Linked DNA regions of Caenorhabditis elegans. The protein of the gene in region 1 interacts with the protein of each later gene in a pairwise test. Each region holds a gene or a part of one and is shown in the gene's direction. Other genes may lie near its edges.

Region 1 (8,035 bases):
AGTTTCTCAAGCAGAAGACACCGAGGAAAACTGAAAAATGTCATTGAAAATAATACTTTCTGATAAAGAGTATTACATTTCCTGAGTTGGCATACATATATCGGTCGCCTAGGAAACTTAAAAATATACTCGTGATGTCCTCGTGAGTATGAACAAAAAGTGAGTAAAGTGTGAGAAGGAAGCGTATAACGCTTGAATGCATTTTTGAATGAGCTTCATTTATTTCGAGATGGGACAACGAAAAACCAAGGAAAGCGAACGAAAAACCCGAATAAAATAATATTAAACATCAAACACTTTCAAACAACTAAATATACCACATTTACGAATAATTGCAAGAACTTGTTTAACGGCAGCATAACTTAGAAAATCTGTCCAATCGTAACTTCCAAGGAATGCGAGTTTTTCGGTTTTGCACACTTCACAGAAATTACAATTGAGATAGCAATCGACGTGTGATTTGAACGCTTCTTCTTGGATTTGAGTGCAGCTGGTTGAGTACTGAAAATTTGAAATGAAATTTGTGACTGCAATTGGTATTAGCAGTGATAACTTGGAAACTTATTTTAGTTCATTCTAGACTGAAAAAAGCGTTTAGTCTAACAATTAGACATAAATTATTAAAAACAAATTTCACATAACTACAGTATATTCTACCAGACTAATAAGAAAATATGATATTTTTATTATTAAACTCACTTCGGAAATGTTAACAATGGCTTTGACTAGACAATTAGTAGAACATCCAACAAATTTCCGTCCTTTTGGGGTGAACTTATCAAGTGTGCCTGAAAAACATTAAGTATACACTATACAATTTTAATTATTTTCCAACGTAATTTTTAATCTTTAAAAATATCATAAAATTTTTATTTATTTTTTAAAACTTCCAGTTATAACTTTCGTTCTGGTAAGTGTTGGTAAATTGCTACAATTTTCAAAATTTTTTGACAATTTGAAAAGCTTTGAGAATTGTTGATTTTTTTAGTAGTTTTGAAATATTCCCCTGACGATTTTTGATTTGCTTTTAACTGATAATATTCTCACTTTGATTATTGAACATTAGACAATTTCTGAGACCAAAATGTAGTGGGTAGCCATCAGGTCCACATTTGAATTTTTGTTCAACAACTTCATATTTTTCACATATTTCAGGATCAGGCTTGGCGGAGATTACTGATATCTAAACTCTAATTTCGGGTTATGATGGGAAAGATAAAGGGTCAAAAAACATACCAAGGTACAATAAATGAACAAGAGACTCCCGAGAAAAAGTGTCATGTTGCAATGATCACTGATAATGATTTGTGAAGAGATAGAGAGAGGAGAGTGAATGAATGGGAAAATATGGAGATGAATGTTGGTTTATTTTGTGAAATTAGAGATAAAATGGTAGAGAAAAAGGAAAGCAAGTGGACTGAACACACGTGTTTGTCTGTCTTTTAAATGCATTTTTGTTTTGTTTTTTGAAATCAAAAAATGAATGGAACGGAGAGAGGAAGTAAACAGAGAGCCCAGACATTTTCGAACGATTGAACTGTCTGCGAGCTTTGTTATAAAAATGAAAAATACATTTCCAGCAAACATTTTTTCAGGTGAACAATCAAATATTTTCTATTGAAACAGTATGTTTGTTTATAACAATGCCCTTTAATTTTTTTAAATTTGTTTTCAGAAAGTGAAAACATGGAAATATTGAAATAACAATCAAATTATTTTTTCAAATTTTCATTGGGAAACAGGTATTTAAAAATCTATAAAGTGAAATATTTGTTTAATGTGGGTAATGTGTTTTGCATATCCAAAATTTTCGAAATTATGCGAGTTTTACTCCAAAAGTACAGTACCCAGTCTCGCGACGACAAATTTTTGTTAAATACAAAAGCGTGCGCCTTTAAAGAGTAATGTAGATTCAACCTTTTATTGCTGCAGCATGCTGCCAAATTCTCGTTGAATTTTCAGCTTTCTCGCCATTTTTTCTCGAAAAACTGAGAAAAATCGATAAAAATACCACAGCAACGAAAGTTTGAAATTACAGGGCACACTCGTTTAATAATAACACGATTAAAAGATATTTCAGATTTCTTCAATAATTTTTTCAATAACTTGAATTCTTACAGAATCAGTTGTCGATTTCTTCCTGCAACTTCTTCCGTACTTCGTCAATGGTCAATCGTTTTGTGTCTATCAGCACCACTTTGCTTCTTGACTTTGCTCCCTGAAAAGAAGACAAATTCATGGGAATTCCCTCAAATGTTCACGTGAATAATCTGATTCGCTTTTACTATTTCAAGGAGTCATGAAAGTGTTTTCGATTATTTAGAAACTGGTTTCAACTTCAAAGAACATCGATTATATCGTTCGATTCACTTCAATTTATTTGTTTGCTAATTCTAGCTTCCTTTTAAATACCTACCTTATCAAATTGTAATTCATTTTTTCGAAGACCCAAAGCACTCATTAAATATGAAATGAGCTCCTCATTGGCTGCTCCTTCGCGTGGCGCTGCGCCAATTGCTACATCAACTTCCGAATCTCCGATTGCTGCGAATTTAACATTTAGTAAACATTTATCTCTCTCTCGATGTTTCTTCTTCTTTGCAAAATCAAAAATATCTTACCTACAACACAACTCTTCTTGGCGCCCGGTTTTGCGTGAATATGCAGTCCGATTCGACCTTCAGTATCGGAGAAAATCGCTGATTCCTGCGCTTTTTTATCAACTATTTCGCCGGTCGGAACACATTTATTCGCTATTTTCTGTAATATCGTTATTTTTTCTTGATTGATTTTTTTAAAAATTAATTACCTCTTTTTTTGGCTTAACCATTTTCTCCTTGAGGCACGCAGAGGAAGTTCGGAAGAAGCCTGTCCACATAAAAAACTTTAAATGAAAACTGAGAGAAAATTTATGAAAGTCACGATCGTTCTGTGCACTGAACGTTGTATTTTTCTCTGCGTCTGGTGGGAGAGTGAGAGAAAAGGAGAATAAAACAACGAGGACAGTTTTACTATGCGGAATATTTTCAAATTTCGGCGAAAAAATATATTTGTTGAATATGTTTTTTATTTAAAAAAACACAAGATTGTGTTAAGAAACAAACAATTTTCGGATTAAAATTTCTTTACAGTACTCCCCAAGTACAGTATATCTTTAAAGGCGCACACCTTTCTGCTTAATGGTCCCGACATGTTTTAATTATTTAATTTAATAATGGCGCCATTTGTTTAATTTTCAATTTGTTTACCTTTTCTTTCAGACGTTCTCGCGATTTTTCTAGATTCTCCCGTTAACGACCGTTATCAGTTTTTATTTCCAAGTAATTTCTGCGAAAATTTTTCAGGTTTATTATCTTGCACTGATAATCAGCAAAATAGGTAGAAAAAGCGAAGTATTTCTTTTGTTTTCTGAACTTTTCCCTCATTTACTTGTTGTCGTCTCGTTTCAAACACAGTAGCATTAAGGAAACGTGTCTTTTGGCTACATTGTAGTTTTGTAGCGGGAATCCACAATTTTCCAAGTGAACTTATTGCGAAACTTAGTCACCCCACCATCTGATTGGGGGCAAAGTACGTTCACGGAGGACCTACAAATACTAGCTGACCAGTCCTCAGTTTCTCTATCTCTTCTTCATGATTTCTCGTTTCTTTTATTCTCTTTTGAGAACGTATTTTCTAGTTTATCATTTTATCAATTGATTGTTTGCAGCAAGAAAGATGACTGACGTCGAGCAGCCAGTATCAGTTGAGGATCAACAAGCCCAAGCCCAAAGCTACTACGATCAAGTCTTAGGAAATGCTTACGTACAAACGGTATTTTTATATCGCTTTCCAAAATCTTCGTTTCACAATAATTTTTATTTTCAGGCAATCAATGCATACACAAAGACTAAAGAGTTCCATCCACTTCTTAACTCCACATTGAATTCAGCCGAAGAAAAGGTTTCCACTGTCGGAAATTATGCGGCTCAAAAAGCCTATGACGGATACAATTCGTACTACGTTAAGCCAAAGAACACCGCTTATGAAGCAGTCTCTTATGGAACCGAGAGGGCCAAAACAGCTGTTGAGAGCGGAAAGCAAGCTGCTATCGTTGGTGGTACATTCGGAATTGGAGCTGCCGTCGTTTTGACCCAATTCTCACTTGCCTTGAGTGCTGGAGGTGCCGCCCTGGTCCTTGAGCAAGTGGACAGTGCTAAAAAGTTGGGAAGCAGCGCGATTTCTACGATCAAAGAAGCCGAGCTTGCTGTCGAACACAGAATCTTCTCAGCTCTTCATCAGGCCCAACGAATCGCCATGGTTCCTGTGGAGAAAATCACAGAAAATACTAATTCATTGCTTGACATTCTTGACGGAGCAGTTCAGAAAGGACTCAATATCGAGGTCCCACCATCTGTGAACCTCACCATCGGACAGCGAGTCAAAAATCTGGCTTCACTGATCGTCCAAGGAGTATCTAACAAGGTAGAGAAATGTAACATTTTTTGAAAATCCGTCTAGCTTTTTAAGGCACATGATCATGTTATCGATCCAATCAACGAGAGAGCCCGTAATTATCTTGAGCAGCTCAGCCAATCCTTCGTATTGGTTAGTTTATTTTCATAAATGAATATATATTGAATCTAAGATTGATACTTTTCAGCTAGACATCGTCCGTGAGAAGAAAACGTGGGTCATAGAGAAGTCAAACGAGCTCTCCACATCTGTCTTTGATTTCAAGAAAACACTTGAGGAAGAGGCACAAAAATACAAAGTTGCTCCAGAAGAGATGTTGATGAAACACATTCAATCAACCTCCGAGCAACTCTCAACACAACTTCAATCATTGCGTGAGAAGGGACAAAACGTTGGTTGTTCTATTCTAGAAAGTATAATTTATTTTCTTTTTTCCAGGTTTTCGGTGATGGAACTAAGATTGACTCCACCATTGACTACTTGGAGAACTTGAAGAAGAACTTCACAGATGCTGAGGATGTTTACAAAGTCCGCGACGAGGTATCTAAAATTCATTTTAAAAAAAGTTTATCTAAATAAGTATTCTTACAGGTTCTGAACGAGGGACGTCAACGGATCGCCGAGCTTTCAACCTGGACGACTAGCCTTTTGGTTCGTCAACAAACCGAATAGTAACTTTTCTTCTCAATCACCACTTTACTATCTGTAGTCTTTTCATGTCAAATAACTGGCTCAGTTCCTAAATGATGATGACTTCTACTCTTTTCTCAATTTTATTTGTTTTTGTCAGACCTTTGCCCTCCATTCCCCTCCTTCGCACCACCCTCACAAATTTTTTTGATATAGAAAGCAAGTGATAGGCTGGCGACGATGATGGCATCTTTTGTCATGCTATTCAATCTTCTTTCTTTTTGTTTTTTTCCTCTCCATTACACCACTTCGACTTGACCTGTTCTACTATATCACCTGCGCCGCTCCTTCTCGTCATCATCGTTGAGAATGGTTGTTGTGTGGATGTTGCCTATATTTTGTCAGATGTACGATTACCTTCTCAAATTATGCACAGTAAGCAGCCACCTCCTCCCATTTAAAATTCTCACCAGTACCATACTCCTCCCCACATATTTATTCTATCAGCCGTACGTGTATTTTTCCATTCTTAAAAGTCCAAAATCCCTCGACCTAGGTTACCAAAAACAAGGGTACGGAAATAAAGATACATAGCATACGGTTTTGCAGATTATCTCGGCCGAATGGCAATTTGAACCTGAAGATCTACTAATCGAAGAGCTCTACTTCGATGCGCCACCGCCAGTTCGCACAAGAAACTTGTATAGGAATCGTGCCTAAATTACTGATTAAATTGAACAACTTGTAAATAATAAATTGAGTACTCACCTGATACTGATAAGTCTAGATAAGATGCCGATTATCGGGGAAATAAGAAATCACATGTGACACTTGCGGTGATTAATCGCTTGTTTCTCCGATCTTTACACTTAACGTTAATGTCTGCCTCTTTTTATAATTTTAGTTCCTTCGCTTGAAAAATGGAAAAAATGCTTGCTTATATTACGGGAACACAAAAAAAAATGACTACTATTTAAATGACTACTATTCTTTCGACCTCCGTAAAACAATACGTACAGTAGCCTTTTATCGAATTACTGTAGTTTTCGCTACGAAATATTTTGCGCTTTAAATATGTTGCGCAATACGCATTCTCAGAATTTAATGTTACAATAATATCCAAACAAGTAGGGCTGCTTAGGCAGCAACCCCCAGCAGCCCCATAGCAACACTGTACCGTAATTTTTTATTTTCTAAAGTTTTTTCAATTATTTTTCTAAAGAGCTGTAAATAGTCAAAGTTGAGCAAGTTTTCCCGTTCAAGGACGAAAATCTCAGTCTGTGAAAGAGAGAAAATGAAACACGAAAAAGGATTTATCATGAAAGTCTTTATTTACAAAGTACGAGTAGGAGGCTTTGTTGTAGGATTTCGAAGAAGTGGCTCATCAAATGTCCATCTTTTCCAATACTCCCTCGAGCATTTCTTTGATATCCTTGATGGAAATTCTCTAGAAAATATAAAGTCATATTATTTCTGATAAACGTGTTCTTACTTTCTGATCGGAAGCCAACAGAGCATGTTCCATTCGTTGGCGAAGCTCATCCAACTAATTTGTCTTAATTTTTTAAATGACGGTCAGAAAAGTGTCAAGAACTGCAGACATTTTGACAGAGTCGAGCAGTTGATTCTTTGATGTTGGTCGTGGTTTCACATCCTTCTTATCATCATCATCATCTCGAATATCCCGCGTATTCTTTGATTGCGTTCCAACTGTATCAGAGCTATTCCTTTTTCCCAAAGTACTCTGCTTCTTCTTTAGATTAAGACCACCAGATCGATCTTTGAACATCAAAATACATCCCCAGGTCGCAATCCACATCAGAAAACTCTTGAAACCTGAAAAATGCCGACTTAGTTTACACCTTGTTGTTCTCTTTTTACTCACTTTTTAAGAAGATCCGTGTTCACAGGCAGAGCGTAGACAAAATGCAGCTTCGCTTGATCCTTTAAACGAATACCGCAATCGCTTGTAGTGGAGAACTGTTCAGACGAGAATCTGAAGAGATAAAACTTTGAAAATTACCAATAAACTAAGTTTTTGAACAAGCGAAGACCTTCTGAGCTTTATGAAAACAATAAATTCTAAAATTGCTTGAATTTTTGTTAAAAGAAAACTGCGCCTCAACAATAAGTCGTATATTGTTATCTCAATGTTTCTTACAGAAAAGATTTCGTGAGCTAATCTATCGTTACTCACTCAAAACTATAAAAAGTGTGAAGCGAAATTCAGAAAAGTACACCAACTAACCGTTTACTCTAACTCGGGGAACTTCTGATTGTGCCCACTGAAGTTCTGAACCGATCCCAAACTTTCAAACCCTTTGGCTGAGGAACATCCATTCCAACCGACAAACCATTGATCTCCGCTAGGAGAAATGTCCACATGCCAGTGTCTTCTTCGATGGAAAACGTTTCATAACTGGAATAAAAGTTTACGTGGCCAATTGAATCGAGCCCAATAATCTGAGTCTGATTTTTAATTTATCACAAGCACATTTTGCAATCTGGGAACGGTTAAATTTTTGCTCAATTCTCTCAATCGGAAATTACACCTGAACTGGAAGTAGAAACCGAACCAGGTTGCAAAATCAGCAAACCTCGACAGCAAAAAAATATTTTGATTTAAACTAACTTTGTTGTTAAAACGTCGATATTCAAGTCTACAATATAGAAATAATTAAATTAAAAATTTCCCAATATGTGGTTTTTTAAAGAAAAATTTTAATGGCATTTAATTTTTTTCACGTTTTTAAACTGATCTCCAAATCTTCCAAACTTCCAAACTCTCTTACTTTGAAAACTCAAGATAATTAAACGGTATACCCAAAATTAGATGGTGATTAAAAAAATTAGTTTTCAGACGCTGCGACAATGACAAGTCGGTCAGATTTCGAAATTTAACTAATTTCAGGCCATTTTTTGAGCCGCCATAACTTTTTTTGAGAGGTTT
Region 2 (10,301 bases), on another chromosome or scaffold:
TCTGTCTGAAGATGGAAGTTGGCGCCAAATTTTTGGCTGCGTAGCGACTCATTCTTCATTGTGATACGCAGCCAAACAACGTCCTTTCAAAAAAATTCGCGCATTTGATTTTCTCTCGATTTCTATACTTTTCTCAGGTTTGTACAGTGTTTTTCTTGCTAAGATCAATATTTTATTAGAAATGCATCAAATTTCTCAATCAAAACAATTTTTTCCTGCAAACCTTTTTTTCCAAATTTATTTTTTGAATTTCTCGTTGGAAACTAGTTGAAAATGCTAAAATAATTGATAAATCTTTGTTGCAGTATGTCCGAAGATCATCACGACGAGGAGCAATTCGACTCTGCCGAGTCCGGAGCTGCTGCTACTTTCCCGAAGCAATGCTCGGCTCTTCGCAAGAACGAGCACGTCATGATCCGAGGAAGACCATGCAAGGTAAAAAATAATTCAGTGAATTTTCCTAATTAGAAATTTTTTAGATCGTCGAGATGAGCACCTCCAAGACTGGAAAGCACGGACATGCTAAGGTTCACATGGTTGCCATCGATATTTTCACCACCAAGAAGCTTGAGGATATCTGCCCATCCACCCACAACATGGACGTCCCAGTCGTCAAGAGACGCGAGTACATTGTAAGTTGTTAATTAGTTTTTAAGAAGGCTTTCAAAAAAATCAACTTTGGACGGTTAAACAAATCTTTTGAAAAATGAGTTAATCAGCTGTAAAAAATGTTATTGATCAAATTTTCAGCTCATGTCGATCGAAGACGGGTTCTGCTCGCTCATGGATCCAGAATCTTGCGAGCTCAAAGACGATCTCAAAATGCCAGAAGGAGACTTGGGAAACACTATCCGTGAGGCTCTCGAGAAAGACGAAGGAAGCGTCTTGGTAATTATTTCGACATCCACCTTTTGAATCTGAAAATTTTGATTTTCAGGTTCAAGTCGTTGCTGCCTGCGGAGAGGAGGCTATTCTCGGATACAAGATTTCTACCAAGGAATAATTGCATTTATATACAATTTCATAATAAAAGCAGTTCCAGTTTAATCATCCCGCTTTTTATACATCATTCGAAAAACATCGGGCAATGAACAAGTGCACCTCCGCTGGTGTTGTGTAATGTGGGTGTTTTATGTGTCGTGTTGATTGTGATATCTGCTCACCAAACGAAAATGAATTGCTTGCAAACCGCGGAGGTGACATCTGTCCATGGAGTGTTAAATCAGATTCAGTTGTCAGACTTTGTAATCACAGTTCCTAGTTTTTGGAACTACATGGCCTGTGCAGCTTTTCCACCCTTTGTACACTACACCTTATTGCTTATTGAGTTGACCCCAGGTTGGCCGCGTGCCAATAGAGCTGTTCACTTTAAAACGTGTCCTCCTCCGCGACCTGCGAGCACCCCCTTAACCACGATAATATCTAGGTGCAGTATCAAAGACCCACCTTCCTCAAACCTCACTAGCCATCCTTCCTTCATCAATTGGCAATTTAAAAGAGTCGCATAAATTTCACAGTCACCCAGGAAGATTTCGTAAACTCTACGCTTCCATCATCATCTCGCCACATCTCGCACCTCCTGCCGCGTTTACACCCGTGTCCACTCTTTCATCAGCCTTGATTGTTTGCCTTTCTCCAAAACCACACATATATCCGTCCTAATCTAGATTACTGTAGTCCGTCTCCACCTGTTCTTACTTAAGCTTTTCCTATCTCCGGCTTGCCTTCACATTCGCAAACAAAGCCTGAGAATTTGATGAGTATTTGTTCCATTTGTTGCATCAACCAGCATGTTGTATAACTGTTCATTTTACGATTCCAATAAGTTTTTATGATGGAGTACTGTTAATAGCGTTTTTACTTTAAAATTCTCAAACTGGTTAGCAGACCAATTTTGGGTCTGCTAAATAGTTTTTATAAAAAAACCATTGACAGTACAGCCTCTAAAAAAGATTAAAATAATTTTTGAATTCAGAAAGTTCTTGTTTCATATAAATAAGAGCCATCCCTCTACACGGGTCATCTAGTAGCTCTAGGTCGACACCTGTTCGTAGCAGGTTTTATGAGCTCAACAAAGGTTGTAGGTGAGCCGTGCCAACGTCTCAGTTTCAAATTCCGAGTTGAGTATTACGAAAACCTGGGTATAAAACGAGGGGATGCCGAGAAAAAAAGAGTAGTGGACACACACACACATACGTCTCATCTTCTTATTTCTTTTCGTTTCTTCCCGTCCAGGAGCCACTTGTCGTCCCGTCGTCATTTTGAGTTCCAAATGATGAAAGATTCAATGAATCACGGAGACGCAGGGTCCCGTCGATGGCTCATTTTGCGTGTTTTAGTGGCGGGACACAGGAAGAAGTCGAAGATTCACAACATGTCGCAACTGATTCATCACTAGTGCCTTCTTGCTCCAAGAGCAATGTTTTTCTAATTAGTTTGTACTACTTGATAACTTCTTAAGATTTGTTCTACTACTTTTAAAAATTTGGTTTTGTAGCTAGAAATCCTGAAAAAAAAAACATTTTTGCTATGAACTTTTTTTTGGATATACTTTTATAAACAGCATCTAGAATTAGTTAGAGTACCTGAAAAATCAAAAATACGAAATAGTACTTGTATCCTATGTGCGAAGTTGCACGATTTTCATTGCAAAATTAGGGTCTCCGGTCTCGCGACGACCGAAGAAAATATAAATAAATTGAAATGAAAACGAGTGTGCGCCTTTAAGAAGTACAGTAGTTTTTTTTGAAAGTTTCCTTGAATTTTTTTTCCACTTCAAATTATTCGTTTCGCTTCGAGACCAAGTACCGTAATAGTACCGTAAATTTCGAATTCCTATTTTTTAAAAAAATTCTTTAAACTGAATTTAATCAAAAATCAATATTCAAGTTAAATTTTCACCTTTTTGGTGAGTTTCAATTTCTCGAATGATACAGTAATTTTGAAAAAATAATTTTTTCTTATTTCAAATAATCTAAAAAATAAAACTTCATATTCTTTCAATGATGCCGAAATTTACAAAAGCCATGGTAGTTTATTAGAATTTTTTAGAATTTCATGTCAAAAAATTGGAATAGTTTTCACCTATCATAATTTGGAATTTGTAATTTTGACCAAAAAAGTCCTACGAATTTTGTATTTAAATTCAAGAATCATAGAACTTCGAACCTGCAGGAATGTCCAAAATTGTTAGACTTTAATTTTTTGTTGGGGAATTGTTGGTTTTTTTTTTTGAAAAAGTGTTAGACCTATATTTGTATGAGTACAAATGCTTTAAACATAATTAGAAACAAAAACAATTTAAAAAAATCTTTAATTATTTGGTTGACTTCCAAAATTGTTGAGAACTTGCAATTTTTGGATATAGATGGAACCAATTTCAATTTTTTTAAATAAAAAAGTATTGCTATGATATTTGACAATTCATCTTCTTCTCTGTATTTTCCGTACCCCAATGGTTTGCACTTCAATATAAGTTTTAAATTTAAAAAAGTTGATTTCCTTGTTTCCAAAACACTTCTATGCCTTAAAATGTGATAAAAATATAATAAACGATTCAATATTAATTCAGAAAATGCATTCACGGATATTGTTACTACTTTTGATGTTCGCATTCAATGTCGGCCTAATCAATTGTGGTCAAAGTCTTGTATCACCTCAATCAAACTGTAAAATCAGGTAAAATTACCCACTATTGACAACCACCAATTATATCTTCTTCTTATAATTTCTAATTATAGGTGCGAAAATGGTGGAATGTGTGTTTTCGATTTGGAGCGACCCGATTTTCATTCATGCATCTGTCTTTTGGGGGTCTACACTGGGGACAGATGTCAGATTAGAAGTAACTCAAAATTTAGAGTTTAGGAAAAATATTTAATTTTGAAATTTCAGTTGCTCCCGAAGATATTGAAACAACTGCAACATCCGATGAAACATCACACCCAATGAATATCCAACATCAGCGTATGTTTCTTTAAAATTCAAATTATCATGATTTTGTCCCCATTTGAAACTTCACTTTAAAGGCACACACTGTTTTCTGAGTGGGTCTCGCCACAATTTCAGTAGAACTAAGCGCTAACAAGCGCTAAAACGGTGTTTTTCAATTTCTGAAATTTTAAAATAAAAAATGTTTGCCGAAGTTGCCGAACCCAAAACTTTTCGGCAACTTTTTTTTCAGTTTAAGTTGGTCTACATATATTTTGTTGGATTTATATTTCGGAGGGTTTTTGTTTAAAAAAAAAGTATTTTTACATTTACGGCGAATGACGTAATTGCCAATATTGACAAAATTGTCAAAAAAGCCAAAATTGCCAGAATTTCCAAAGTTACCAAAGTTTTCGATATTGCCAAAATCGACCAGTGAAGTATTATGCGCGCATCGCAAAGGAACTGTTACTAGGGTTTTTTTCCTGAAAGCTGAACAAAAACATTTAAATGTGCTATTCTGTTGTTCCATTTTTTTGTATTATTTTGTTTGAGAATGTAATTGGTCCTGACACGACAGCTGTCGAGATGTCAAAAGTTGTCAACCACAACACATTTTGTTTTAGATCAGCAATAAATTCTTTAAATTCCAGAATCTCAAGCTGATATTGATGATGCTCGACGACGTGACGATGAGAGAAAACGTGAGTACGAGAGACAAGTCGCCGAGAGGACACGCAAAGAAAAAGAGGATCGAGAGAGAGCATCAGATGAAGAGAGACGCCGACAACAACACGAACAGTATTGGAAAGAGGTAAGCCCTCCCCCCATCAGCAGAAAAGAACAGTTGTTTTAAATTGAAAGAGAGATAGTGAGCATCTCAATGAGCTCTCTATCACATCGAGCAAGCAGACACTTGTTTTGAACACATTCCACACCACCAACGGGAGGTGCATTTTCTGATTGAGCAAAAGATTTGGGCGGTATATGAATGATAGATCAAAGGGGACAATTTGAGGGGAAGTGTTCCAATTGATATTTGATTGAAAACTAGTTCCGGATTTTGGATTTGCCTGTTGCCGCCAAATGTTGTAAGAATATTATTGTCAAAAACATTGAAACATTTATTGCCCATGAGCCATATAAGGTGAATCATGGTGCAGTGGGGTGTGAATAAAGCAAAACATTAGATTTTCAAGAACCAATCTGCACAAAAATTAAATTTTCAAGTAACAAAGTGTGACAAAAAAAAGCATTATATTATCGGCGTAATGTTTTTATAGGTAGTTTTGGAATTTCGGCTCAGAATTAACCTTTGCTACATGCCAAAGTTTCCAATAATTCCAAAACTTACCGAGTTTCCTAAAATTACCAAAATTGCAAAAAATGCCAAAGTTAAAAAAGGTAATTAAAAAATTTCTAAAGCTGCCAAAATTGGCACAATATAAAATTGCCAACTTGACAATATTTCTAAAATGACGATAATTTACAGAATATACAAAACTGCCAAAATTCCAAAATTGACATAATTGCAAAACTGACAAATTTGTCATATTTCCCAATATTACCAATATTGATAAAAATGCCAAAATTTTTAAATTGACCAAAACTTATAAAACTGTCGGCCTTGCCAACACTTACCAAAAATGGAAAAAATTCCAAAGTTTCCAAAAACTGGGTTTTGGCAAAATTTCTGAAGTTGCCGAAATTAGCAAAACTGACATATTTGTCATATTTGCCAATATTGCCAATATTGAGAAAAATGGCCGAAACGTATAAACTGTCAGTCTTGCCAAATTTGCCAAATTTGCCAAAAAAAATTCGAAATTATCGGAAATTCTGAAAAGAATATCTACTCACTGTAGACGTGAATATTTTAAAATATCTTACCCTCCGCCCCCTCATTTAAAAATTTTCCTCTCAACAAAATATTTCTAGGAGACAGCTCGCCGTGAGCAACAACGAGCTGAAGCCGAACGAAGAATTCAGGAACAAAGAGTACGTGATGATGAGAGACGCAGACAACACGAGGCTGAAAGATCACAAATTGAAGAGAGACGTAGAGAGGTTTGAATGAAGTACCGTATTATTTTAATTCTGAATCCCTTTGCAGGAAGAAAGCCGCCGATTGGCTGCACAACGAGAAACCGATGAAGCAAGAGTAAGAGATGAAGAGAGACGGAGACAAGAAACAGAAAAAGAAGTAGAAAAGGAATTAAATGATAAAAGGACACAATCAATGAATGAACAATTTGAATATGAAGGTGGAGATGAAGAATATCCACAAGTTGCTGAAAAAGAAGATGAATATGATGAAGGGTATGAGACAGATAATACTGAAGATGTTACAATCACAACTACAAAAACTACAAAACTTATGAAGCCTATGGTAGAAGAGAGTAAAGGAGTAGATGGAGATGATGGAAGTGATATGATTATGGAAAAAGATGAAATGGAAGATGATAAAGAACCAATTAGAAAAGAAGATGAAAAACTTATTGATTCGATTAAACATGTCTTCAATAAAGCAGTCGATGAAACTGTAAAAGAACATCCAATGTAAGTTTTTTCTAAATCTAGTTCTAGATATCAACTATAATTATAATACATATTCAAAAGTTGCTATGTGAAACATGCTATGAAGCACCCTGATTTTAATCCGACGCCTGAAAAAAATACAGATGTTAGGAATTTTGTACACCCATTATCAGGGCACACCAAAAATGGGTGGGATAATTTATAAAATTTTATTTGAAATTTACATTTTAGCTGTTGGCTAAAATGTGAATTAAAATGCTCCCAGTACCGTGTTTTGTAAATTTCATAGTTATCAATTCATTAAGAATAAGTAAAATGTGATGAGGAAAAAAGTTTTTCGTGTGCAATTTTAATGTTAAAATTGATTTCTTAACCCATTAGGAAACTTTAACAGTTCCAGAAATAATATTTCTGAAAAATCATCTCAAAAAAAAACGTTTGATTTCTAATTGAATTTTTTTTAAGCGAGGAAGACGAGTATTGGGATGAAACTTCCAAAAAAACAGACGAAGATAGTTGGACGGCAGAAAATGAAGGAACCAAGAAAACAGAAGGTTTGTTAATTTTTTAAAATTAAAATAATTTCAAAATTTCCAGAAATATTTTTTTTTGAGTTTTGGCAATTTGTTCCCATTTTTAAAACTGATTATTTTTTGGTACATTGGGAAAAGTTACTTTTTAAACAAATTTTCGTGAATTGATGCAGGCTTAAGCCGTACACTGTGCAAATAAAAATAATAAAAATATTTATAATTGTAGAAAAAAAAGATTGCTGGTAAAACTAAGTTTCCACCATTTTTTGGGAGTTTAAATTTAAAAATTTTAAATTAATATAATCAAAAAAAATTAAAATCATGTTTTGACAATTACATTAAAATATCCGCCATGAGGGAACCTTATATCGTACTAGGAAGTTGAAAATTTATCAAGTTTAAAATTATTTTATTTTTTTCAGAAGCCGATGAATACGGTATGGAAGAAGGTACAGAAGGATGGATGATGGTGAAAAAAGAAAATGAAAATGCAGCGGTTGGAACTACAGTATCCTTGATTACTGTAACTTTCCTATTCACACTTATCTTCTAAATATCATGAAAAAAGTATTCTCAAACTCCCAGTTTCCCTGTTAAGTACCAAATGTTCTGCCTTATTTTCTAGTTTCACGGGTTTCTTTTCATTGAATTTATCACACCTACTTTTGCTCATTTCCTTTCATTTTCCTAACTCATATCTCACTTTTTTCTCATTTTTAAATTCAGTTTAACCTTACAGTATTAATTATTGTTTTTTCAATACTACTTTATCCTTGATAATTCCTAAAATAATAATAAACGCTTACGTAAACCAATAATTACCGTAATCCTCTCGGGATGTAGTCACCTCATCCAAAATTCAATTAACGTCGACAACAGAACAGGTGGAAAAGTGACGGCGAGAAAAGGAGCCGCCCGTCTTGTATGACTGACTACCCACTGATTTCTTTCTGCTTTGCATTTGTTATCTGATCTCCCACTAACGTCAGGTGAGAATACAGAAATTTCAGATGATTTTATATCTTGTAACCTGAAAGTTTCAGACTCAAAATTCCTGAAAATCCAAAGGAATGCCGATGGTTGTTGCCAAGAGAAATGCAAGGGAACGGACACGTGTACACACTGTTAATCAGGTTTGATCCTTTTTTTGAGTTATGAAGAAATTACAGTAGTTTTCTGATCAGTGATGTGAGCAGCAAAGTTTTTTGGCATATTTACAAAATCCCATTTTCTCATTGTTGTGCCCAAGTTTTTTGTGAATGTATATAGGAATGTCGAGAAATATTTATACTTTCTGGTACATTCATTTGGCAAATTGAGACTTTGAGGAAGATTTTGAGAAATTTTTTGAGCATCTCAATTGAAAATAAATGCATCTTTAGAGAGTGAAAACATCTCTTTATATGCCGATATAAATTTACAACAAAAAACTTTGGCACAACGATGAAAAAGGGGAATTTTGTAAATGTTTCGAAAAAATGTGCCGCACTTCTCTGTTTCTTGTACATCAAATGGCAAGATGTGCTTCCAAAAAAAGTAAGAAGCTTTTTTGTAGATTGCCATTTCAAAGGTGTTGTAAGTGAGGATTTATTATTTCAAATTATCGATTATCGATTATTTTAAAAAAAAAACTGATCTTGGCTGTTAAGATGTTTCAAAAATCGAAGGATCTCTCTTTTTTTGAGAATTTTACATACTTTCAATAATCCTATTTGACAAATGTCAAATTATCTACATACGTCAGCCGTGATTTTCTGTAATAGATTATAGAGACCCTTGAAACAAATAGTATTCAAATAGTTTAAAATTCTAAATCGTACAAAAATATATCCAAAAGTCCGTTCATTCAAATACTTCTTATTTCAGGCATTTCTTGTTCTGAAACAACATCTTCCAAGCCTCCGTCAATTCACAAAACGTGTCAGCAAACTTCGTATACTGAATGCAGCAATCACTTACATTGACACACTTCTTAAATTAATTCAAAGTTCAGAAGCAGTTCCTCAGTCTGTTATTTCTGCAACTCTTGGCCCAATTGTTCCAACTCCCGTTCGAGCTGTCCATAAAATCTCAAAACCAGACACAGTCATATCTCAACCAATCCGTCCCCTTGCACCAGTTCTTCCACGCCACGAAACGTATCTCCCAGCTCCAATAGCTGCGACGTGTGCTCCAGATCATTCTCTAGTCGACTATAGATCAACATTCGCATCGTCATTAGCACCACCAGTTCCAATGCAAATGCCTTCAGTATTCTCACCTCAACCAACATTCCCTTATATGAAGAGTCTACTTGATTATCCAACATATTTCTATCAACCATCAACTGCACCTCCACCACCACCTGCACCAACTGCACCACAATCACATTTGATTGTTAATAATCAACTTGTACCAATGCCCTCTTATCAATGTTTTTGAATAAATACATTTTATTTCTATATGTGCAGTGGCTGTTCAGACTATTCAGGTTTCTCGTAAACTTTCGCTATTTTCCAAAGAATATTACTCAGAAACCGGACTTTTCGAAAGCGAAAATTTCATTTCCGAATACTTTTCAACAACCCACCTCAAACATGCCAAAAGATGAAGCAGCGGACATTTGGCGAGTTCATTTATGACAAAAAACTCTTGAAATACGTTTTCTACAAGGTGTTAGTTGTACCTCAATAAAGGGGAGCGGCAAACGATTTTTTCCGGCAAATCAGCAAATTGCCGGAAGAACGGCACTTGCAGAAAGTTTTCAGCAAATTGTGGTTTTGCTCATTTTTTTTGGAAATTTCAGAATTTTAATTTTAATCGGAAAATTGTACGCATCCTATGATTTATTTAGAAAATTTATTTAGAAAAATAATCAAATTCTATGAAAAAATCTTTTTAAAGACGAGAAAAAATGTGAAAAAGGCACAGTTCTTTGGCATTTTGCCGGAATTGGTAATTTGCTGGAAATGAACATTTCTGGCAGTTATCCTAGACTGGATTATCGACCACAATCCCCCAGATCGGCTTAAACGGAAGCCCAGTGGGAGCACCACCAGGAATGGTGTACCTGATTCCCAGATCCGCAGTGCATAGAGCAATCGTTTAAATAATATCAAGCTTTGAAAATACCTCCTTTTTTGCAATTCCACAAACTTTTTGAAATTTCAATAAAACCTTAGCACTGGCGGGAAACTCAGATTTTTTCTTTTATAATGTTTACTCTAGCTACTGTTTTCCTAATTTATTTAACGGTTTTTCTATGATGGAGTCATAACTTTTTAAAAATTAAACAATTTTCTACACGATCCAGAAGTTTAA
Region 3 (7,170 bases), on another chromosome or scaffold:
TTGTGTTTCCGGTTTATGGAAACTGTGACTCAAAAAATCACACAGATTTCTGAAAAATTTGCATCTTAACAATTTAAAGAACTTTCCCAATACAGTAATCCACACATGCTCGTTCTATCGTAAAATCGTCGAACCTTTTATTACTTTTTATTTATTTATTAGGATTGTAAAATGTATCAATAAATTCGTCAAGATCGCCAGAGTACCACGAAACTATGATTGTGCGATCAATAAAATCTGCCAGAAACATCAAGTTTCTCATAAAATAAATCGCATTCTGTTACCACGGAGCACTATTCGATTTGAATATACAGAAGACAAAAAACTATGAATTTTTATTAGAAACAATACGAATAATATGGAAATATTACGGTGCATGGGATTTGGATGAAAAGAAAGGGAATTTCTATGAGATTCATAAGTACATTTGTAAGGATCCCGTTTTGAAATTTCCCCCCAAAAGTGCACCTTTAATAATTTTGTTTTAATTTTTTAAGTTTGAGCATTGCAGGGGTTTTAGTTTGCCGCAATGCTCAAATTATCTCAAAAAGTATTTTTTGGTTTATGAAAAGGTTATGAAAATCTTGAAAAGAAACACGTGAAAGTCTCAATTTAGAAACTTATCTGTTCAATTAATTTATTCTAACTTTTGTTCTGCGACCTTGTGTATTCGGTGAGTTTTCTCTTCGGCTCTTTTTTGGGGAAGCTTTGCCGGCATGTTGGCATAAAGACCTTCAAGGACTCCTGATTCTCAGGAATCTGGTGAAAACGTCCGGTTTTTCATGCTTAATGCAGATTGTTTTCTATCTGTAATTATGCAAGTTATTTTTTCAGAAAGAAACATGGCAGAAAATAGTGAAACACTTCTACAACTTGCCCATCTCGGTTACAGCATGCTCGCTCCAATGGTGTTCACCGGATACGTCATTGACAATGTGGAGGAAAGAAGAAGACTGGTGGATCATCGGGTGGTGGTGGAGCTAAAACTGGAGGAGGAGGAGGAGATGGTGCAACCAGTGCAAAGAGTGATAAGAAAGAAAAATCATCGAGTGCTCCAAACCCAGAGGGACCAAAGGCTCCAAGTGATAAGAATGCTGTCGCAGGGACACATGATCCAAATTATCAAACTCTTGCTGGAGTTGATGGAAATGTGTTCCAAGAGAAAGGAAAAGCTTCTCCTGTTGCTGCTGCTGGTGGAGCTTCTCCTGCTGCTGGTGCTCCAAAACCTGGAGGTCCTGGAATGGCTGGTGAGTAAATATTTCATTGGATATTCAGATTCAACTACGTACTAACAAACTAATCATATTCAGCCACCCACGACCCCAACTACCAAACACTTGCTGGAATTGGAAACGATTGTTTCGACAAGAAAGAAGGTGCAAAACCAGCTGGTGGTGGTGCGGCTCCAGGTGCTCCAAAAGCCGGTGGTCCTGGAATGGCTGGTTTGTTTTTGTAGTTCACACAATCAAAGTTCAAATTTAACTTTCAGCTACTCATGATCCGAACTATCAGACACTGGCTGGAATTGGAAGCGATTGCTTCCAGAAGAAGTGATTTGTGTCAACTCGTGCAAAATCGGTACAATAACGAAATTATGTGACAAATCAGCCTTTCATCTCGTCCTTCAAATAAAATTTTTCAGTTGAAATGTTTTGCTTTTTAGTTTTTTTTTCAATTTTCCAATCAATATTTTCATGGTGGATGGACTTTTCTGTTTAACAAAACGCCCTTATATGGTTCGGAGTCAGCACTAAACTTTCAGGGAGAAATTTTCAGTCGTTTCAATAGTTTAAACTGGGGGAACTGGAAGATGGACAGAATATCAAAGATTCTTAATTTCTGCATAGAAGCCGCAATAGGCAAGTTCCGAAAACGTTAGTATTCCTTAAAATGTTATTTAAAAATTGTCGAATCTTTCATTTTTTCAAACATTTTCATACACAAAAGCATAGTTTATCATTTACCAATTTACCAAACCAATAGGTGCTGTATTTCCGTACCCAACTAGTTTACTTGGAAAATGTATATCTTGGTTTATTTTAGAGATATCAATAAATGATCAACTACAAAATTATATAAAAAGATTTTGAAAATAAGTTTCAGTTGACAATTTTTGTATAGAACAAACGACAACTAAGATATAAGCTGTCAAAGTTGAACAATTGGGTGCAATACTTATAGGAGAAATACGGTAAATAAACTTTATTTATCAGGCTGCTTTTAGACAATTTATTTAATGTCCACCATAGCATCAGTTTCATTCATTGATCCAAATATTCAAATTTGAGCAAATTGAGTTCATGACTCTTCCCAAATTGTGTACCATTCCGTCACCACACCACAATAATCCGTCACCAGATACACCACCTTACCTGATCGTAAATCGTAATCTAAAAGGCGGCAACGCCACCTAATCCATTATTTCTATTAAAACAAAAAAAACAGCAGATGACCCCTTCTAATGACGTCATTGTTCTGAAAGATATCGGAGGCGGTTCGATCGTATTGTTGTTGTTGCGCAATGCAGCGTTCTGGTGAGTCTCTCCGCGCGTCTTGGATATACATGTCATTTGTGGTCACTCTTTATCGTGCACATTAGCGCATATGCACCGTGTGCAGACACATTTCGAATAGGTGACCCCTGTCTTTCTTTGGTCATTTCTATTTATTTTATAATATTTTGTTTGGCTCTTTTTCTTTTTTGAATCCTTTAGTTCTCTGTTGATCCCTTCTTTCTTTTTTTAATAGCAAAAACTTTAACTTCTAAAATGCTATTCTGGTAAATCAGTTCAATTCGCGCGCCTATTTTGTGCCTACATGCCTACCTTCTCCCACTTGTTAACACTTTTTGCTTGTTTGTTTTTCCAATTCTATAAACCTTTGAGGCAGGCACATGTGCCTGAAGGTGTGGCTGCCTACAATAGAAGAATTAGGTGCATCTATAGGCAAGCTGGGAGTATACTGTATCTAATTATATTTTTTTGTAGCTGTTCAACAAACTTTATATTCTAGACTTAAATACTTTTTTGACCTACCTCCACAAACTCGGCGGGATTTTTATCCAATTTATAGTTTTCATTCCTCAATCTTACTTCTTCTTTTCCCATTTTTTAGTCATTCCATCATTGGTTTTTGAAAGTTTTCTGGAATCTAACTCAACTTTCCTTTCGTTTCACTTTCAATTTATCGATTTTCAGATGCGTCTTCTGATTCTTCTCCTAATTTGCTCTGCATTCTCCACATGCTCAGTGCTCGACTCATTCCGTGCCAATGGAATCGAGTTTGAAGTTTACGGTGAAGGACGTCTGATTCCGGAGAAGCAACACTGTGTACCGTATACCTTGGATCTCAATGAGTTTGTCAACTCGTTCAACACGAACAATATGAATGAGTACAGTCGAGGGCTTCTTCAAAAGCGGATTTTCACGAGTTTCGACGCAATTTGCCGCAAATTCAATATCCAAACCGAGAACGAGCAACCAGAATACAATCTGACAGAGGATAGATCTCAAATGAGATATTTGGATTATTTCGACTACAATTGGAATAGTCTTCGATTCGAACGAGATCTCAAATCTCTATTTTTGGAGAATAAAATCAATAATCCATTCCTGGATTCAGTCACTGAAGAAACCATCAAAAGAGCCGGAGCCAACGATGTTCTAGACTTTGCTCAAAAGACAACGGTATTCCCGAAGACTTGCAACGTGAAACAGATGACTGTTCAGACGATGATTTGCTTCAATATTTCAGATATTCCACAATCTGGAACTATTTATGCGGTAAGTCCTTTGAGTGAATTTAAAGAAAAAAAAAAAATATAATTTCAGTTGGCCCATGGAGGAGAGTTCTTGCACAATGAGGAGGTCTATGCCTATTATGATATTCCACAATTCGTCCTGATCACTCAACAAGCTGTAATCCCAATTGAGCTTGAAAAATGCAAAGTTTTGGTTAGTATTACTGAATACTCTTTCAAATTAAATGTTTCAATTTTCAGTTCGGCACGTACATTTACTGCTTCGAAGAATTTGACACCCAATGCGACGTTCGTACTCTCTCGGATTGCCCAATTTACGCCTACAAGACCGAAGATGAGTTTGTCTTCCGCAGAAGCTTCGGAATCGGATATATTTACGCTACGACCGAGTCTGATGTTGATTTGTATCAAAATGGCACAAAATCAACCGTTCCTGGACGTGTCTTCGTGCTCCGAACTAGTTTTGGAACTCCAACCACTGAAAACGGATCACCAGTTATGATGCCCGATATGACACCTCATCACGAGCCGGAGAAGAGCCAATTCGCCGAATTGCTGCCAGAATCGCAGAAGATTCTGAAGTCCGACACTCCGACACGATTGTATACCACTCAACGACGTGGTGTGAACATGCTAAGCCATAAGCATTACGATCAAGGAGCCTGGGATGCCGTTCGAGACTTTTTCGGATTTTAATTGACTTTTAATTTTAATATTTTTTTCACCACGAGTACCAATTTCCATCAGGGATCCAATCCTTTTTTTCAAATTTCAATTTCCAATATGAATCTTTTAATAAAACAAGTTTGACAATTTGACACTTTATGCGTTAAAAAAAAGCAATTTATTTGAATTTCAGAGTAGCCGGAAGTTTTTTTGGGAAGTCAATAAAATGAGTATCAGATACATAGACAGAAAGTGTGTACCGAGTGGTGAATTAAAGAAAAGCTACAGAACAGAGAGCGAGATGAGTGAACAGAAGAAAGAAAAATAACACGTTGGGATGGAATTGACTAAAAAGATGAACAGGAGATGATGAGGAATTAAAGACGACTACAGTATGCACAACATGGGGATTTCAGGTGGAACAGAGCAAAAAAGAAACAAAATGAAAATGGTGAAAGATGAGTGAAGAAATGGTATAGTTCATATGTACACGCATTTCTATATACAGACGTTTGTAATGGGGACAAATACAGCCAACACTGCAAACCAAACTCGAAAACTTCTACTGGGCAAGAAAATGGGAATATTTTTTGCAGAAGGCATTCATGGTTTGGCAGTTGATGAGGAAGTCGGCGAGCACACGATTTGTTGTAAGGATTGCATATTATGGGCAGTTAACGAGGAAAGTATGGTTGAATCGACTGGTTCAAGGCACGAAGGACATGTGAATGACTTCATAAGCCATTCGTCGACGCATTCTTGATGAAACGAGTGCATGCAAGGAAGGAATCGGATTCTCTCTCCTGGCTCAAAGTCGATCATACAGATGGCACATCTGAAAATGGTTTTTTTAAAAATTTAACTAGAGCGCATTAATACTGATTATACAGGCGCGAAATTTTGCGCCAAAGTGCGATACACGGTCTCGACACGACAATTTTTTGTTTAATGCGAAAAGGTGTGAGCCTTTATAGAATACTGTATTTTCAAACTCTCCTTGCAGCGGAAATTTCATCATTTTTTAAGTTTCGTGAAAATGTATGTGATTTTTTAATCACATATATTTGAGTTTTCAAAAAAGAATTAAAAATCTATGAAATTTCCGTATATATCTATAGTTTAAAATTACAGTAATCTTTAAAGGCGCACACTCTTCCACAGTACACAAAAATTTTGTCGTGCCGAGACCGGGAACCATATTTTGTGAGTGAAATTTTGCGTCTGGGTGATAATAATTTTTTCAACACCTCTGCTGTAGCTCGAACAATAATTGATATTGGTCAGATTGTAGTTTGAATAATTTAGTTAATTTTTCATTTAGATCCGAATTTCAAAACTTACTCATTACTGGTCATATCTCCTCGAAATACATCAGCAGGGATTTGCTCGAGAAGTCCTCGAATTCGGTTTTTTTTTGCTTCGTCGAGTTCCTGAGAATTTTTTAAAATTTAATTAAAATTATTCTGCTCTAAACGCTCACTTTTCCCTGTTCCTGTGCTTGTCGTTGTCTAATTACGTTGTGTTGATAGAGCTGATTTACGTACGAACTCTGAAAATTTCAGTTTAATTAAATTCAGATTCTTCAATAATTTCTTACGCTTTGTTGCATCATTGACGGATTTGTGAAGCTCATCGCTGCGTCTGATGATCGGCTCCTGCAAAAATAGTTTATTGAACTTGTTCTATACTTCAAGCATACAATCTAATTGTATTTAAATTTTTAAAAAATCGACGTGTTTTGGTTAATACAACTTCCGTTTTCATTTTTGTGGTATATCACATCAGTTTAGCTTCATCGACATCTCACAGTATACTAGTGAATGACAAAGTAAATTACCGTCGTAGTGGCGTCTCATCGTGCTGTCTGACGAACCCGAACAACGACGGCAAGCAGTTTCCCATTGTCGATCGAAAATCAAGCTGAAAAAAAAGTCGAATATATGAAGATGTGACAAAATGAGGACATCGGAGTATTTCTCAGACGACTAAAGATGAGAATTTTCTACATGACTTTTCCGGATGGGTCTCGCCACGCGGGCAACAAGTTACTGTAATTCGTGTCAAAATACAGTTTGCCATAGCGTTATATTTCTCTAATTTAATTTAAAAAATTCTGACTCATGATTAAAAAATGTATATTGTACAATTTCGGCCCGTAAATTGACACGAGCTACAGTAACCCACTGCTCGCGCCGCAAGACCTTTTAGACGTCTAATTAATAGTAAGATAATGTTCAAACGTCCATGCATGGAAAACCAGGAAGGAAAATTACTCATAATTACACATCGAACTTTAAGAACAACATCACTGCGACTTCTTTAATTAATCAGGCTTCCCAGAAAATCAATGAGAAAACATTTTTAGCGACTTTGTGAAACATTTTATGTGTATGTGTGTCTGTGTGTTTGGGTGTGCACGGAAGCTCTCGTCAAATATTGATTCTCTGGGAAACCGGGAATGACTTTCCGTAGTTTGCACGTATTTATGCCCAAAACAGGTCTCGAAACCAAAACAAATAGGACATGAAGACCCTTTTTTAAGGAAAAGAGTTAACAATAGACTTAAGAAGTGAGACGATTTAATCAGTTACTGTATCTAGGTGGTAGCTAAATATACTAAATATCTTTAAATTATTTGACTGATCATTGCAGAATTTCGTAATCCGTTCTAAAACATCAAGAATCATAGGAAATGCATTAGCAACATTTTTATACGACATAATCGTACAAAACCTAATCGATAG
Region 4 (6,487 bases), on another chromosome or scaffold:
TGGTCAATATGGATGAATGTACTATGAGAGTGAGACAACATACTGACCATCCAATTTTCAAAAATAACCTCGTGGCGAAATTGTCGGGAAATATAAACCCGAACGAACACGTCAGTCTGCAGTCATCAATTTTTCCGGAATATGTGCTTTTGGAGGGAATCATCGTTGAGTTTTACTTCTCCATACCTCTCTTCGATCTGACTCAGGTAAGGGCTCTTTCTAAAAGCTTCGTCGTCCTCTGGCTGTAATCACTAAAACGAGTTCAGTTAGGAATTCTTTTCAGTTAATCAATCCGTGATTATTTTCATTCCGTGATTATTGTCATTCCGTGATTATTTTCATTCCGTGATTATTTTCACTCGGGAATCGCTCGCCCACTATGGGGGAGTCTACGCAAGGACAACGCAAGGACAAGGACAACATTCTAATGGAATGGAAACAATTGCCCGACTGCACCAATTCTAGTTCAAGCGAACAATGATAACTTTTGTATTCTGTATTCCTTCACGTCTCCCAGCGAGCGTAATAAATTATTATAATAATAATTATTATTTTAGTAACAAGATTGTTCAATTTTCAACTGAATTTGTTTGAACTCTTTTTAGTTTTTCAAATCAAGTCAGTCAGTCAAATCAAATCAAGTTTCAAGCATAATTTTTGGTTTCTTAAAAAGTTGCATAGTTGACCATGGAATTTCAACTAAAAACCTGAAAGTTCAGAAAGTAGAAAACTCAATTTTTTTGCAGATCTTTGACCTGAATCGTGTGTGCATCATGGATGCAAGATGGGTCACATTTGGATATGTTATGGGAGCAAATTTCACTCGGCTTATGTTGTCAAACACTAAGTGGGATGTCGAAACTGTGAACCAGTTCATCTCGCGTTGGTTCCGTGATGGTCGATGGCCACATTTGGAGAGATTTGAGCTTCACTTCACTCCCGATTCTCATGGCTGCTTCAATCCGACAATACTTGGATCGGGTTCGTATCCGAAGAAATGGAATCATCGACGCTCATCCCTGGATTCTACGAGAAGAAGATATTATGTGTAAGTTCTGGTAATTTACACCGTTTTAGTGTATTTTTCTCACGTTTTCAGAATGGACTGCCATCGGGACCCGTATCTCCTGGACACTAAAAACGATCTCGACGTGACAAGAGGTGACGGAAAAATCGCGACAATTGTGAATTCGCCTCGAGCATTTTTGTTCCTCGTCTGGCCCGATCCTCCCGTTGAGCATAAATATCGTATCGAGACTGAACCAATTATTCATAACTTTTGAATTATTTCGTTTATATGTATTTTAACTATTTTGAAAAATATATCATTTCTTTGTATCACTTAGTTCATCTCAACAACATTTCAAAAAAAAAGATAGCAGCCCTGAATTGACACAATTTACAGTAACTTCATGCAAATAATGCATCGTAAAACCTGGGCTAACAAGGCATGTGAAATGGGAAACTATCAATAGATTGGGTGGAACCGGTGAAAGTCAATAATATTTTCAAGGCTAGCTTTCACTCATAAAAGCTTACTGCTGCAATCAGTGACAATTAATGCAACAGCAGTATTCAAAACTCTGTTTGACAAGTCTTCAAAAATCGATTTTTACATATTGGGAATATTGTCTTTTTTCAATATAACTATTTTCCCGTTTCATTCGTATTCTTATAATACAAATAGGGAACGAGATGAAAAGATATGATCTCTTACCTCATATTAAATGCAGTTGTTTTTCCAGACATTTTTTCCATTAACCAACCGAATGTTTCAAATTGTGCAGAAATCCTACTTCCCATTCGTATTTTTTGCTGGCACCGTGATGTTTTCTTACCATTTGTAAGCCATAATTTGCATTTAATTTTAAGTTTTTTACGGTGTAAAAACTTAATCAGATATGTATGTACCTTACGCACAAAGTAAGAAAGTCTTTCAAAAAATCACCTAGCTTTTGTTGCAGAATATTATCTTTTAAATTTCCTAAAAGCTTTTGAAAAATTCAACCAGTTTCCTTTTTTTTGAAACTTTAAAGAATTTTCAGAAGAGCCTCAAAAATTTTCAAAACTGCAGTTTTTGAAATTGTCAAAACTTTCCAGATTTCTAATCGTTTCCGGGTTTCTAGAAAAAATTTCTCCAACTTTCCCATTGATTTCCAAGTGACTAATAGGCTTCAAATACTCCTGAAATTTCTGGGTTTGTTCAAACTTTTTCGAGTTTTCCAGAACATTCTCAATGGTTCTAAACATTTGTAGAGTTGACCAGAAGAAATTTCTAAAGATCTTTTAAAGATCCTAGCTAACTTTAGCAAATTCTTGAATGTTTCCAAACTTTCAAAAATGCTCCATTAATATAGGATTCTCTATTTTCAGAAATTTTCAGAAATTTCTCAGTGTTTTCAGAAGTTTGTATTACATTTTGAAGAGTTAAGGAAATTTTCAGAAATCAAAGAACTCGAAAGAACAAATCTGTCCCATTTTTGATAGCTCGATCGAACCCAAAAATTTGAACGGGTTTTTAAATACACATAGGATCACTTGAAATATCCAGAATCGCGATTGTGAATTTCCAGTGATGTACGAAGTAGGTTTCCGGAATTTTAAAAGTACAATGCTGCAAAGTTTAGAATGTATTTATATTTTTAAATATTCTTATTCTAACAACTGCACTTCTTTACGTCCCCATAGTTATAAAAATCTGGAAGCTTGATCATCGCACAAGTAGACAAGGTTTTAGGCAAACAGTTACAGTATTCGCGTTCAAGATTGCATGTTATATGTCAAACCCACTTTATATGAAACATTTACATTCAGATTATCATTCCAATTTTGTTAGTCAATTTTCTCTGGAGTAAAAACACACACAAGGGTGCAATTTTACGACTCTTTGAAAAACTAGGTGTTTTTATGAAACAAATTAATATTAAAATTATCTCCATAAAATAAAAATAAACAAACATTATTAAAAACAAAAAAATATTAAAAATTAAATTAAAAATTAATTTTAAAAACTATCCTCATATTCGTAAAAACTTTATTTCAGTTTAAAAACAGAAGAAAAATTGGATTTTTAAAAATGTGGCCCTAAAGAGGGCCGTTGGGTTCGGTTAGATTGCTTTCAGCAATTGAATGCTTACTTGCTGGAGGTGTACTTGGTGACAGCCTTGGTTCCCTCAGAGACGGCGTGCTTGGCAAGCTCTCCTGGCAGAATCAAACGGACGGCAGTTTGAATTTCGCGAGAAGAGATGGTGGATCTCTTGTTGTAGTGAGCAAGACGAGATGCCTCAGCAGCGATACGCTCGAAGACGTCGTTGACGAAAGAGTTCATGATAGACATAGCCTTGGAAGAGACTCCAGTGTCTGGATGAACCTGCTTGAGTACACGGTAGATGTACACAGAGTAGGATTCTTTACGGGCATGACGTCTCTTCTTTCCGTCCTTTGGCTTGGTGACGGTCTTGGCGGCTTTCTTTGCTCCTTTAGCAGACGGCTTTGGTGGGGCCATTTCGATTGATTGGACTGGTCGTTGGACAAGTGTAAAGAATGGGTTGATGGCCATTTCCTTTATAATAATTCATCGGTGGGAAGGAGGAGCCTATGGACATACTGCGGGGACACATTTCTATGTAGTCTCCCCAGCCGAATACGCAGAGTGCACAGTTTTTCTCGGTCACTCTGCCACCTCCTCCACCTGCCTTGTGTCTATGTGCCCGCCTAGTCACCGCAGTTGTGTTTAAAAGAGTGTGGTCTAATGGTCTCCTTCAGATCGTTTTTACATCTACCAACCAATCATCACCATGTCTGGACGCGGAAAGGGAGGCAAAGCCAAGACCGGAGGAAAGGCCAAGTCCCGCTCATCAAGAGCCGGACTCCAATTCCCAGTTGGTCGTCTTCACCGTATTCTCCGTAAAGGAAACTACGCTCAACGTGTTGGAGCCGGAGCCCCAGTTTACCTGGCTGCCGTTCTTGAGTACCTCGCTGCTGAGGTTCTCGAGTTGGCTGGAAACGCTGCCCGTGATAACAAGAAGACCAGAATTGCCCCAAGACATCTCCAACTGGCCGTCCGTAACGATGAGGAGTTGAACAAACTGTTGGCTGGAGTAACCATCGCCCAAGGAGGAGTTCTTCCAAATATCCAAGCTGTTCTTTTGCCGAAGAAAACCGGAGGAGACAAGGAATAGATGCCTTCTTAAAACATTTTACCGAACCCAACGGCCCTCTTTAGGGCCACAAATATTTAAAATCCTCTATTGAACATGAATAAAAATTATTTTTATCAATGGTTTTTGCACGTACTTTATTATAAATTGAAAATCGTTTGCAAAGAAGAAACTTCTTTTTGGATTTGGTTGATTCACAAAACGATTCGTAATTATTTTCTTCTGTCTTACAAATGTTAATTAAAATTGGACGAGGTCATTCCAAATTCAAATAAATTGGCGCCAAATTCAAAGTTGTCATTGAATGTGACCTTGTTGAACAATATGATTTTAGAGAGGTTTTCCTGGTTGAGTATTTGAATACACGTGGTTGCAAATTCCTTAGAAACAAAGATATAGTGACGTCACAATACCTACAATTGTTTGGACCTGGATCTGACTCAGATAGGCAATTGATGACGTCATTAATGACACTTTCTGTGAGGACAGTAAAACATTTTGATATTATAAAAATATACTAAATTGTATGGCTCTAAAGTTTCCTGGTTTTGTTCTTTTTTTTTAATAAGTTAAAAAATAATGAATAATTTATTCAAATTGGATTGAAAATGATTGGATCATATGTATGTGGCCCTAAAGAGGGCCGTTGGGTTCGGTGGGGTTTGAATTGAAACGGTCTCAAACTTTCTGAAAATCAGAAATTTAAGCACGTTCTCCTCGGATACGTCTGGCCAATTGGATGTCCTTTGGCATGATGGTGACTCGCTTGGCGTGGATTGCGCACAAGTTGGTGTCCTCGAAGAGTCCGACGAGGTAAGCCTCGGCAGCCTCTTGAAGAGCCATGACAGCGGAAGATTGGAAGCGGAGGTCGGTCTTGAAATCTTGAGCAATTTCACGAACAAGGCGTTGGAATGGCGCTCTGCGGATGAGGAGCTCGGTAGACTTCTGGTAACGTCTGATCTCACGGAGAGCGACGGTTCCTGGACGGTAACGATGTGGCTTCTTGACTCCTCCAGAGGCTGGAGCAGACTTGCGAGCTGCCTTGGTGGCCAGCTGCTTTCTTGGAGCCTTTCCTCCGGTCGATTTGCGGGCGGTTTGCTTGGTACGAGCCATGTCAATTGGAATCCGATAAGGACTGTGAAGAAAGGAGACCCATACACTGCATTTATACAAGGTTGTGGTGGGAAGGCGGGGAGGTGAGAGAGTGGGCAAAAGTGAGAGAGTGCAAGGATATCAAGACATATGTATCCCCGCAGTGTCTCCGCCTTCACACCGCATAGTGGTATAAAAGGGGCAGCCAACTGCCCATTTCTTCATCTCACTTGTGAGTCTTCAAGTCAACTGCAACAATGTCCGGACGTGGAAAGGGAGGAAAAGGCCTTGGAAAAGGAGGTGCCAAGCGCCATCGAAAGGTCCTTCGCGACAACATCCAAGGAATCACCAAGCCAGCTATTCGCCGTCTTGCTCGTCGTGGTGGAGTCAAGCGTATCTCTGGACTCATCTATGAGGAAACTCGTGGAGTTCTCAAGGTATTCCTCGAGAACGTCATCCGTGATGCCGTCACCTACTGTGAGCACGCCAAGAGAAAGACCGTCACCGCCATGGACGTTGTCTATGCTTTGAAGCGCCAAGGAAGAACTCTGTACGGATTTGGAGGATAATTTTATCTCTCGATTTCATACAACCAACCAACCGAACCCAACGGCCCTCTTTAGGGCCACAAATCTAAAATCCTAATTTTCTGTGCATAAATATGTGTTCCTTACTTATCCTTGAGTTTATATTTTTGCCTTTTTTGCGTTGTTAAAGCAATGTTGAAAAGTGTCTGCTTCCATACCAGAACAGATCATAAAGGAGGTATTAGTGACGTCACCAAATGCCTATCTGAATCAATTCCAGTTCCGGCAAACAATTGTTTGTGCTGTAATGCCACTATATCTTTATTCTAAGAGAATTGCAACCACTTTTTTGAAAAATACAGCATATCAGAGAAAACTCTAAAATCATATTGTTCAGCCAGGTCACAGTCAAGGTCAATTTTGAATTTGGCCCAATTTCAGTTACAGGCTCGGATAACGGAGTTGATTCAACTTGTTAAATATTAATCTGAATACAAAAAGATTGAGTATGAAAATTTACTTTTCATTTTTAATGTGATTTTTTTGAAAAATAAATAAATATAATTTGTAGAGCACCAAAACGTCCATATATCTCGTTTACAAAAGCATCGTGTTGAGACTTGAGAAGGCTTCTGGTGCCTGTAGAGGTGATTCTGAAAAATGCTTTAAAAAAATCCACAAAATCAAAAAGATCTAAAATATCTTAAA

What was found.
Region 2: the proteins of plin-1 (region 1) and T05G5.1 interact in a two-hybrid assay, tested with the Caenorhabditis elegans proteins (one large-scale study listed by BioGRID).
Region 3: the proteins of plin-1 (region 1) and C01G6.3 interact in a two-hybrid assay, tested with the Caenorhabditis elegans proteins (one large-scale study listed by BioGRID).
Region 4: the proteins of plin-1 (region 1) and his-3 interact in a two-hybrid assay, tested with the Caenorhabditis elegans proteins (one large-scale study listed by BioGRID).

Annotation. Positions count from the first base shown.
Region 1 is NC_003279.8:7,053,491-7,061,525, forward strand, and holds plin-1 (Perilipin-1 homolog), read left to right. Parts: upstream 1-3,701; 5' UTR 3,702-3,717; coding exon 3,718-3,813; intron 3,814-3,867; coding exon 3,868-4,464; intron 4,465-4,500; coding exon 4,501-4,587; intron 4,588-4,642; coding exon 4,643-4,846; intron 4,847-4,893; coding exon 4,894-4,995; intron 4,996-5,046; coding exon 5,047-5,106; coding exon of another isoform or gene 5,107-5,127; exon of another isoform or gene 5,128-5,677; intron 5,678-5,694; coding exon 5,695-5,805; 3' UTR 5,806-5,854; downstream 5,855-8,035. Other genes in the region: W01A8.8 (DUF19 domain-containing protein), read right to left, coding at 283-501, 700-788, 1,048-1,183, 1,237-1,281; W01A8.2 (UPF0235 protein), read right to left, coding at 2,123-2,218, 2,417-2,544, 2,622-2,760, 2,810-2,878. UniProt on the Caenorhabditis elegans protein: Lipid droplet-associated protein which plays a role in lipid droplet clustering.
Region 2 is NC_003281.10:9,736,610-9,746,910, reverse strand, and holds T05G5.1 (Prothymosin alpha-like), read left to right. Parts: upstream 1-3,571; 5' UTR 3,572-3,574; coding exon 3,575-3,678; intron 3,679-3,740; coding exon 3,741-3,844; intron 3,845-3,894; coding exon 3,895-3,966; intron 3,967-4,583; coding exon 4,584-4,744; intron 4,745-5,868; coding exon 5,869-5,997; intron 5,998-6,043; coding exon 6,044-6,489; intron 6,490-6,933; coding exon 6,934-7,022; intron 7,023-7,423; coding exon 7,424-7,554; 3' UTR 7,555-7,817; downstream 7,818-10,301. Other genes in the region: iff-1 (Eukaryotic translation initiation factor 5A-1), read left to right, coding at 306-435, 480-632, 751-888, 938-1,003; hlh-4 (Helix-loop-helix protein 4), read left to right, coding at 8,072-8,134, 8,868-9,422.
Region 3 is NC_003280.10:9,266,697-9,273,866, forward strand, and holds C01G6.3 (Lipoprotein), read left to right. Parts: upstream 1-3,191; 5' UTR 3,192-3,197; coding exon 3,198-3,782; intron 3,783-3,830; coding exon 3,831-3,953; intron 3,954-4,000; coding exon 4,001-4,456; 3' UTR 4,457-4,571; downstream 4,572-7,170. Other genes in the region: C01G6.2 (uncharacterized protein), read left to right, coding at 843-1,247, 1,311-1,442, 1,490-1,600; C01G6.4 (RING-type domain-containing protein), read right to left, coding at 5,030-5,261, 5,768-5,856, 5,907-5,975, 6,024-6,081, 6,264-6,328.
Region 4 is NC_003283.11:16,037,011-16,043,497, forward strand, and holds his-3 (Histone H2A), read left to right. Parts: upstream 1-3,797; coding exon 3,798-4,181; downstream 4,182-6,487. Other genes in the region: T10C6.10 (F-box domain-containing protein), read left to right, coding at 1-206, 747-1,048, 1,100-1,283; his-4 (Histone H2B 2), read right to left, coding at 3,134-3,505; his-2 (Histone H3), read right to left, coding at 4,863-5,273; his-1 (Histone H4), read left to right, coding at 5,510-5,821. UniProt on the Caenorhabditis elegans protein: Core component of nucleosome. Nucleosomes wrap and compact DNA into chromatin, limiting DNA accessibility to the cellular machineries which require DNA as a template.